Caenorhabditis elegans: one gene and its partner. The protein of the gene in region 1 purifies or fractionates together with the protein of each later gene. This does not show direct contact. Each region holds a gene or a part of one and is shown in the gene's direction. Other genes may lie near its edges.

Region 1 (4,960 bases):
CAGTTATTATTGATTCATATGACTTAGAAGGTATCCAAGGTTCAGAGATTGACTAAAATAATGTTTGCTAGATCCCTGTAGAAGTTTATCACATAAAAGTCACTAAACTCTTTATAATTTTGGTTCAAACCGTGAAAATGATCATTTTTGGCATAACAACGTTAGACCAGTTGAAAATGATTTTCCAGCCGTTTATTTACATGAAAAGTCGTCGAATTTTTCGTGCTCAAAGCTCAAAGTTTTCTGTTAAAAATTATTTAGTAATTATTAACTTCGAGCTTACTAGAAATTTGACCCATTGTTTAGATTCAGATGAGTCAGTTTTACAGATTTGTAATTTGATAATGTTATTACTATAGCCATTTAGCATCTTGCACTTTTAATTAAATATCAATCTAAGGTATCAATCTTGAGCCTTGATCATTATCACCATTATCAAATTGAACCGTTTTAGCTTGCCGCCAACTGCCATTCTCAATGAAGTCCTTTTGAAAGTCAACAAACTCAGAGTCTTGCTCTCTTTGCTTTCTCACTATTTCTTTTGATTGGGCTCTTTTCTCTTGACCTCGAGTTTACTCAGTAACTTTGTGGTTGGCATGGATGGAATAAAAGAAAAACATACAATCGTGGAGTTTTTTCGCAGTTTTTTTCGGAATGCAACTGATGATGACAGTATTGGGTTAGACACACCCATTGAAATAAGGTATAAAAATGATCAAACGAAAAATCTTCACCATTTCTGCTCACTTCAATCGAACGAAATGAACACGTAAGTTTTCTAGCAAACGATTTATGTTATCATTAGGTAGGATGTGCATCATTCATTCGTAAATTTTCAGCCTCCTTGCTCTTTGCTCACTTCTTGCTGTGGCTTCTGCCCAATACTTGTATTATCCAACAAGTTATTACACACCATACTATTACTATTATCCAACCGCTGCAGTTGCTGGTACCACTGGAGTTGCTCAGCAAACTCAGGCTGGTGGAGCTTCCCAACAAGCTTATGCTCAACAGCAACCACAACAAAACCAACAGTATGCTCAAGGAACCCAACAACAACAACAACAGTATTATCCACAACAAACGCAACAGGGTCAGCAACAACAAACTCTTCAATACCAACAAGGAGTTCAACAGCAACCAGTACAGTATGATCAATCAGGAAATACCCAACAGGTTCAATATGATCAATCATCCCAAATGCAGCAACAACCACAACAACAACAGCAATACACGCCTCAATATGATCAATCTGGAAATACTCAAAATCATCAGCAAGGAACTCAACAGACTGGAGCTGTGGCTGCTCAGCCACCTTACTACTATTATACATCTCCATACTATTATTATGCTTATGGAAGAAAATAGAAGAGTATTACGGAACTTGCCCAGCCCATCGTTGTTTCATATTATGATTTCATTCCTCACACTGCCTTTATGCGAACGAAAATAATTGAAAAAAAAAACAATAAATGATTCGAAATTTATGCGAAATGTTGTGTAAGAAAATATTTTTGAAAAAGCAGATTAATACCTGAAAATATTTCCAATTAAAGCAGTGGAATTGTCTTCGTGCCTACCTCGTGCCTGCCTACATCTCAACTGCTGGCTTATTTGTTTACCACATGCCAGACCAATCAGTTTGCACGAAATATTATTTTTGAACTATTAATAAGATACATTTGTTATATCTGTACAGCCTGACACTTTTTTAGAGCGATTATTTGGAGAGTATTCAACACCATCATATTTTGATACCTGAGTTTCAGCCAGCTTAACAGTTTTTTCATTAAAACCGAACACAAATTCAACGGCCCACTAGTTACTCATAACCTAAACATTGGCAGGTGTTCTCTTACATAATCTGTTATAAACAAATGGATCGTCTCAATTTCCAATCAGGTATCAATGACATAAACAAATTATTCACCCTCCACCGTGCAACTCCATTAATTTCATTTCATTTTCGCAACAAATGATACCTAACTTACAGTTATTTCTTTCATTAATACTATTCGGCTTATTAAATCATGTATCTTCAATTGACTATGAAGAAATACACATCGAAGATTCATATGAAACAAGGTAACGAATCCTTTAATTTTTTTTCAAAATTACGTCCGAAAACATTTCAGATCACGTATTCTAATGGTTGATGGAAATGTGTGGTTGCATGCCGGAAAGGATAAAAATATAACGTTCAAAACGACTGGAAATGGAAGAATATATGTGGACGAAACAGATGTTTCCAAACTTCCAGATATTGTAGGTAGACTGCTGAAATTATCCAAAAAAAAAATGAACGAGCTTCTACAAAACATTTATTTTTGATACGTTGCTTTGCTTAACACACAGATTTCTTATTTAGTAGAGGCTTATGCCGATGGTTTCTTGGCAGCTTCCACTTCAATAAATTTGATGAGATCAGCTCGTTCGTCAGCTTTCTTCAAACCAGCGAAGACCATCTGAAAATTTCTTATTAATACTCCATCGCACTTCCTAGAAAATCCTACCTTAGTTCCGGGGATGTACTTTTTCGGATCAGCCAAATAGTCGAAAAGTGTTTGTCTGTCCCATACAACTCCTTTATTCTTGTTGGCAGCCGAGTAGTCAAATCCAGCAACTTGTCCGGATTGTCTTCCAATCACTCCGTTCAATGTTGGTCCAGTCTTTGTTTGCAATGAGTTGACAACGTGACATTGCTCGCAACGTTGTTTGAAGATCTGAAAATCAATAGGTTTTCTGGGAACACTATAATGAAAAATTTAACTAACCTTCTTTCCTTTCTCATTGTCTCCTTCTGGAATAGCTCCACCGGATGCCGTATCAGACTTCTTCTTGCCCATGTTTCAAGAACTGATTAAAACATAGACGGTCAGATTAGAAAAAGGAACGAAACGTGGATTACGAGTAAGAGTTGGAATTAGATAGTCGGAGATCACGCAAAAATTTACTTTTTGACAACTATTTAAAAAGAATCACTTTCCTGAGAAACGGTCACGTAAATTTTGATAATTAAGTTCTATTATTTTTATAAAACTTTTCAAAATGAATAATTGTTTGAAAATGTTTGAACTATGGAAGTTTTTGAAAATTAACTCGAATTACAATTTTCAATATTCAAAATAATTTTCAGGCATCTTTCAAGCAACTTGTTGGACGTATTGAGAACACTTCTCAAATGTTCACCACTTTGAAAAGTCGCCAGGACACGCAGACTTCTGCAATGAGAGTGGTTTTAAATTCTGCAAAACATTATCTAGTAGCGGTAATTCCATACATTTTTTTCTCTTTTTGAAATCAATTTTTAGCTTCGAAATATGACACTCGAAGTGAATATCTTGAAGAAGTGGAAAACTGATAAAATGGCCAGAGACATGAGGAGACGGGGATTATTGGTGAAAATGACACGTCAAATCATGTAAGACACAACAAGTTAGGTTTGACTATTTTTTATAAATTGTTAACTTTCAAGAGGAATCAACAAATTGATAGCAATAAACGCGTGCGATCCGAACAAATGTAGTAATGGAGGCACATGTATCCCATCTTTTGGCGCCAAATTCACTTGTCTTTGTCCTCCACATTTCACCGGTACAACTTGTGAAGCTGACATCGATGAATGCTCAGTATACAATGGTACAACTGCTGGATGTCAGAACAATGGAACATGTATCAATAACCGTGGCGGATTTGAATGTCAGTGCCAATCCGGATATCATGGATCTCTTTGTCAGTATCATATGTCCGCTTGCTCGAAAACTTTTGAATTGTGTGGTCCACATGGGCATTGTATTGAGAGTATTGTGGATCCAACTGGTCAGTCATCTTCCGATACAACTACGTACAAGTGTATTTGTGATTGGGGTTTCAAGGTTTCAAGTGATAAGAACAATCCAACGTGTGTTGATGTCAATGAATGCGAATCAAATCCATGTCATCCAGGAGTTGATTGTATTAATTTGCCTGGATCGTTTGTGTGTTCCGGATGTCCAAAAGGATATAAAAGTAAGTTAGAATTATATATGTTCAATCAAATCAAAAATAAAATAATTTTTTTGGTTTAATTCTTGTCTAGAAAATATATACTCGTATCCAAAACGTTTTCATAAAATAGGTAAGTAGGCATTTAAATAGGTCAATAGGTGTGTGGTAGGCATGAGGTAGACACGTACGCCTGAACAAGTGCCTACCCTGTATAACACTTACAAATTTCAAGCTTTTTTTGTGAAAATACTTGTTTGGATTTCTCAGTTCCGAGAATGAGGAGAGAAAGTCTTATAAACTTCGGCTTAACAATGTGAAAAATCAGAATTTGTTAGTTTGAAGGTGTCGAAAAATGTACTGAATATCTGTCATTGAAATCCAAAAAGTAAAATAAATTCAGCCGATGGAAATGTTTGTATTGATGTCAACGAATGTGAAGGTGAAATTCGTGTATGCTCTCCGCTTTCAAAATGTCATAACACTCTTGGCAGTTATTATTGTGATTCGTGTCCGACTGGATACTCCGGCGATGGAGGAAATTGTGTGAAAGATGATAGTTGTGTCAAAAACAAATGCCATAAATTAGCAACATGCAAGGTAACTGACGACGGATACAGTGCTGTTGGAGACTACACTTGCTACTGTCCAGATGGATATGTTGGTGACGGAATTGGAGAGGAAGGATGTGTTAAGTCAGCAAGTAACGTTTGCCAGAACCACAATTGTGTTAATGCTGGGAAATGCAAGGTAACACAAATGAAGACAAGTAAGCACTGTTACTCAAAAAATAGTTTTCAGCCAACAAGCGACACCGAATATAAATGTGAATGTGAAGCTGGTTTTCTTGGAAAGTTCTGTGAGAAAACATCACCGTGCCAAACGAATCCTTGCAAAAATGGAGGAACTTGTATTGCCGTTGAAAATTCTGCTTATTGCGACTGTCCAGAGCACTTCTTTGGTAGGGCATGCGAAG
Region 2 (3,193 bases), 9.1 Mb from region 1:
TTTTTTTTGTTAATTCGCATTGCACTCAATTTATCAAACAAAAAACGATTCAAAAATAGACTTTCAATTTAAAAACTTGCAATTTATACATTTTCCAAACTCGTCATATAACGAATACTAAAACTTTTACACAAGCTTTTTAAAATGTTCCCCAGCCTACCTCTGCTTGAAAACATTGCTCAATCACTTTGGGTGTCCTGGCATCATTAGAATCAACTTCCAGTGAGATATGTTTTACCTTATTTGCAAACCCATTGATCAAAGCTGTACATCTAAATGATTCGTAAAAATAATAGGAGCCCTCGCAACTATCCGATGTTGTGTTTGGTGGTGTGGTGAGAAAATTCACAATTCCTTCATAATTCTCAGTGATCGTCTTATAGCCGGAACTGCACTGGGTTTTGGTCGCATCGAGGAAGCAAGATTTGCCATCCAAAAACGCCATTTTCTGGATTTGCTTGTCGTTCTGAACATGAATTTTGAAAATTTATTTGGCAATAGTTACGGTGATTTTCGTGATGTATCTATCAGGGGTTGGGCGGCAATTACCGTTCGGCAATTTTTTTGGCGACAAATTCGGCGAATCGGCAAGTTGCCGGTTTGCCCATTTGCCGGAAATTTCAATTCTGATAATTTGCCGATTAGCCTATTTGCCGGAAAAATCGTTTGCCGCCCACCCCTGGTATCAAAAAAAAGTGAAAAAAAAACAATTTTTGGGATAAAAATTTGCAAAAAATCTTGGAATTCAAACATTTTTGCAAAAAATTGTTTATTTGCAATCATTAAATTAGTGGTACTTTTTGGAAGGCGGCGATTAAAAATATCAATTAGTTTTAAAGATTAATATTCAAAAATTGTAAGGATTCTGAAAAAGTGGCAAAACTCTGTGATTGCCATTTTTTCCCTGTCAATAAAATGTTTTTGAAATTTGTTTTTTTACTGTTTAAAAATCTTTACAAATAATTATAACAACTTTTGAAAGAAAACTTTGTTTTTGGAACTTTTTGAACTTAAAAAAAATATTTTCTGACAGTAAAAATACTCAATAAATGTTCTGTTATACTGCCAACCCGTATCAGGCATAAGTGCCTCAGTACCTGCCCACCTTTTAGAAACACCTACCGACAAAAAATCATATTCTCCCAAACATGAGATGTTTCTAGTTTCAGCTGCGGTATAAAACCATTCAATGCAAGAATTTACGTCTTCTGTCAAAAACGATCCTGCCGGAGCAGTACTAACTGCTGAAATAAGAATGAATACAACAGTAGCCTTCAAAAGTGACATTTTCCAAATATTTTTGGAGATCAGGTAGACCAACACACTGCAATGTCGCTTAATTTTTGTAACGGTCACATATTTATATCATGAGTGGGGGAGACTATTTACAATAAATAATCTCGCGTGCATGTAGGTAGGTAGACGTATACTTTGACCAAAATGTTTAGTGACTCACTTGGGATTTGAAAGGTCGATTAGAACTCAATAATCAGGAAATCGGAAATCAGGAGAAAGATAATTGACATCTCGACTCTGAAAAAATTTGGGGCGGCCGACATCTTGCGGGTCTCAAAATTTGAAGAAAAAAGAATTCGGCATGTCAACTACCATTTCAAAGGTATTAATTTTTCAACACCTAATATACTCATACTCTGATCAAAAACTCGAATTCGTTTATTTTATCTTTTGATCAAAAAAAAGTTGTTCCGCAATTTGTTGATTACCATACGATTCGGTATGAATAAAAACAGGATTTGTTTATGAAATTTGAAACCAGTGAAATTTCTTTATAAAAGAAGGGTGGCCAAAAACTCAGAGAATATTCAAAATATGAAGTTCACCGCAATTTTGGTCTTTGCAACATTTTTCGCCTTCACTTCATCGGCACCTACTCCTGCTGCGAATGATGTTGAAGAGCCGATGGTGAAGAAAACCGAGCAGATGCTCACCGTGGAGGCCTTCGATGGGTACATCGGGTTGCTGAAGATGTTCAAGGATATGTTGCCGCTGGATATTATTACGACGATAGATAATGTGAGTTTTCATGGAAAAAAGTTAGATGTTAGATAACATTTAAAAAATTTCAATTTTCAGCTGAACATCACCCAGAAAGGAGAAGTCGTGAGCTTCCTATCCAACTGGTTCCAGGATCGAATTCAGCGCCCAAATACCACCACTGAAATTGTCAGTGTGCTCCGCGAGCATCTTCCATCCGTCTTCGACAAAATCCACTCTTACAATGAAACATTCTACACAAAATTCAATAACTTGAAGCCAGAAACCCAAGCTCTCCTGCGTGAATGGCGTGAAAAAGCAGTGGATCTTCTCGGAGATCAACGACCAGCCGGCGAAACCGCAGGCCAAAACCTCCAGCTACTTCGCGACTTTGCCATGAGCATTCGAGATGTAAAATCTGAAATTCGGGATGACTTGAGGACCCAATTTCCTCAGGCGGTGTCGTTGACCGAAGGGCTCGGATTCACTGTGTTCACGACGATGATCATGGTAGTTCAGAAGATTGTGGAGACGGCGGCGGCGGTGAAGAATCAGGCGGTGCTGGCCACTGGATTGCCAGTGGAGTGCGCGCTTCCATTGGATTAATGTTTTTTTTTTTTTTTTAATTTAAAATTTTAAATTTTGCCATCTATTTTTAATCTAATAAACAATTTCATTTTTATCACAAAAAATTGACACCGGTAAATTTGAGATTAGATTTTTCCCCGTAAAAATTACTTTGAAATAATATAGCCTAGAACAAGTGGGACTATAACCCAAATATCTAAATTCAAAGCCGTAAGATAGGAAAGATCAATAGTTTTTGGATAGAAAAACTTCGGCATTTTCCCATTATACTTGAACAGTCTCTCAAACTTGAACGCGGCTTCATCCAGCGCCGGCATCGGCTGATCCGTGAAAGTTGACAGGAATTGCTCCGCTTGAATTTGATAAGACTTGTGCTCCACCACTTCTCGAATATGATTCTCGAGGTATTGTTCGGAAAGGTGGAATTTGTTTAAAATACGTGCAAATCCTTTGCTTTTGGCGAGCCACGCATTTCTCATTTGCTCCGCGAACATTGGCATGAAGAGTGAGGGAGTTGCGGAGCACACGGCTTCTTTCACACTGGAATTGCAGAAAAAAAAATTACATAGGCTTCTAATATTAAAAATTACCTCTTTAAGCCTCCATGACT

What was found.
Region 2: the proteins of cubn-1 (region 1) and C07G3.10 fractionate together in Caenorhabditis elegans (co-fractionation; one large-scale study listed by BioGRID). This does not show direct contact.

Annotation. Positions count from the first base shown.
Region 1 is NC_003283.11:12,609,372-12,614,331, forward strand, and holds the start of cubn-1 (Cubilin homolog), read left to right. Parts: upstream 1-1,957; 5' UTR 1,958-1,975; coding exon 1,976-2,085; intron 2,086-2,135; coding exon 2,136-2,265; intron 2,266-2,310; exon of another isoform or gene 2,311-2,375; coding exon of another isoform or gene 2,376-2,465; intron 2,466-2,513; coding exon of another isoform or gene 2,514-2,723; intron 2,724-2,774; coding exon of another isoform or gene 2,775-2,846; exon of another isoform or gene 2,847-2,847; intron 2,848-3,136; coding exon 3,137-3,268; intron 3,269-3,311; coding exon 3,312-3,421; intron 3,422-3,475; coding exon 3,476-4,008; intron 4,009-4,387; coding exon 4,388-4,734; intron 4,735-4,785; coding exon 4,786-4,960. Other genes in the region: ZC116.1 (Prion-like-(Q/N-rich)-domain-bearing protein), read left to right, coding at 597-769, 840-1,368; cyc-2.2 (putative cytochrome c 2.2), read right to left, coding at 2,376-2,465, 2,514-2,723, 2,775-2,846. UniProt on the Caenorhabditis elegans protein: Cotransporter which plays a role in lipoprotein, vitamin and iron metabolism, by facilitating their uptake.
Region 2 is NC_003283.11:3,500,477-3,503,669, forward strand, and holds C07G3.10 (Fatty-acid and retinol-binding protein 1), read left to right. Parts: upstream 1-1,830; coding exon 1,831-2,034; intron 2,035-2,094; coding exon 2,095-2,601; 3' UTR 2,602-2,675; downstream 2,676-3,193. Other genes in the region: C07G3.8 (T20D4.11-like domain-containing protein), read right to left, coding at 161-466, 1,123-1,287; ugt-64 (glucuronosyltransferase), read right to left, coding at 2,730-3,123, 3,174-3,193.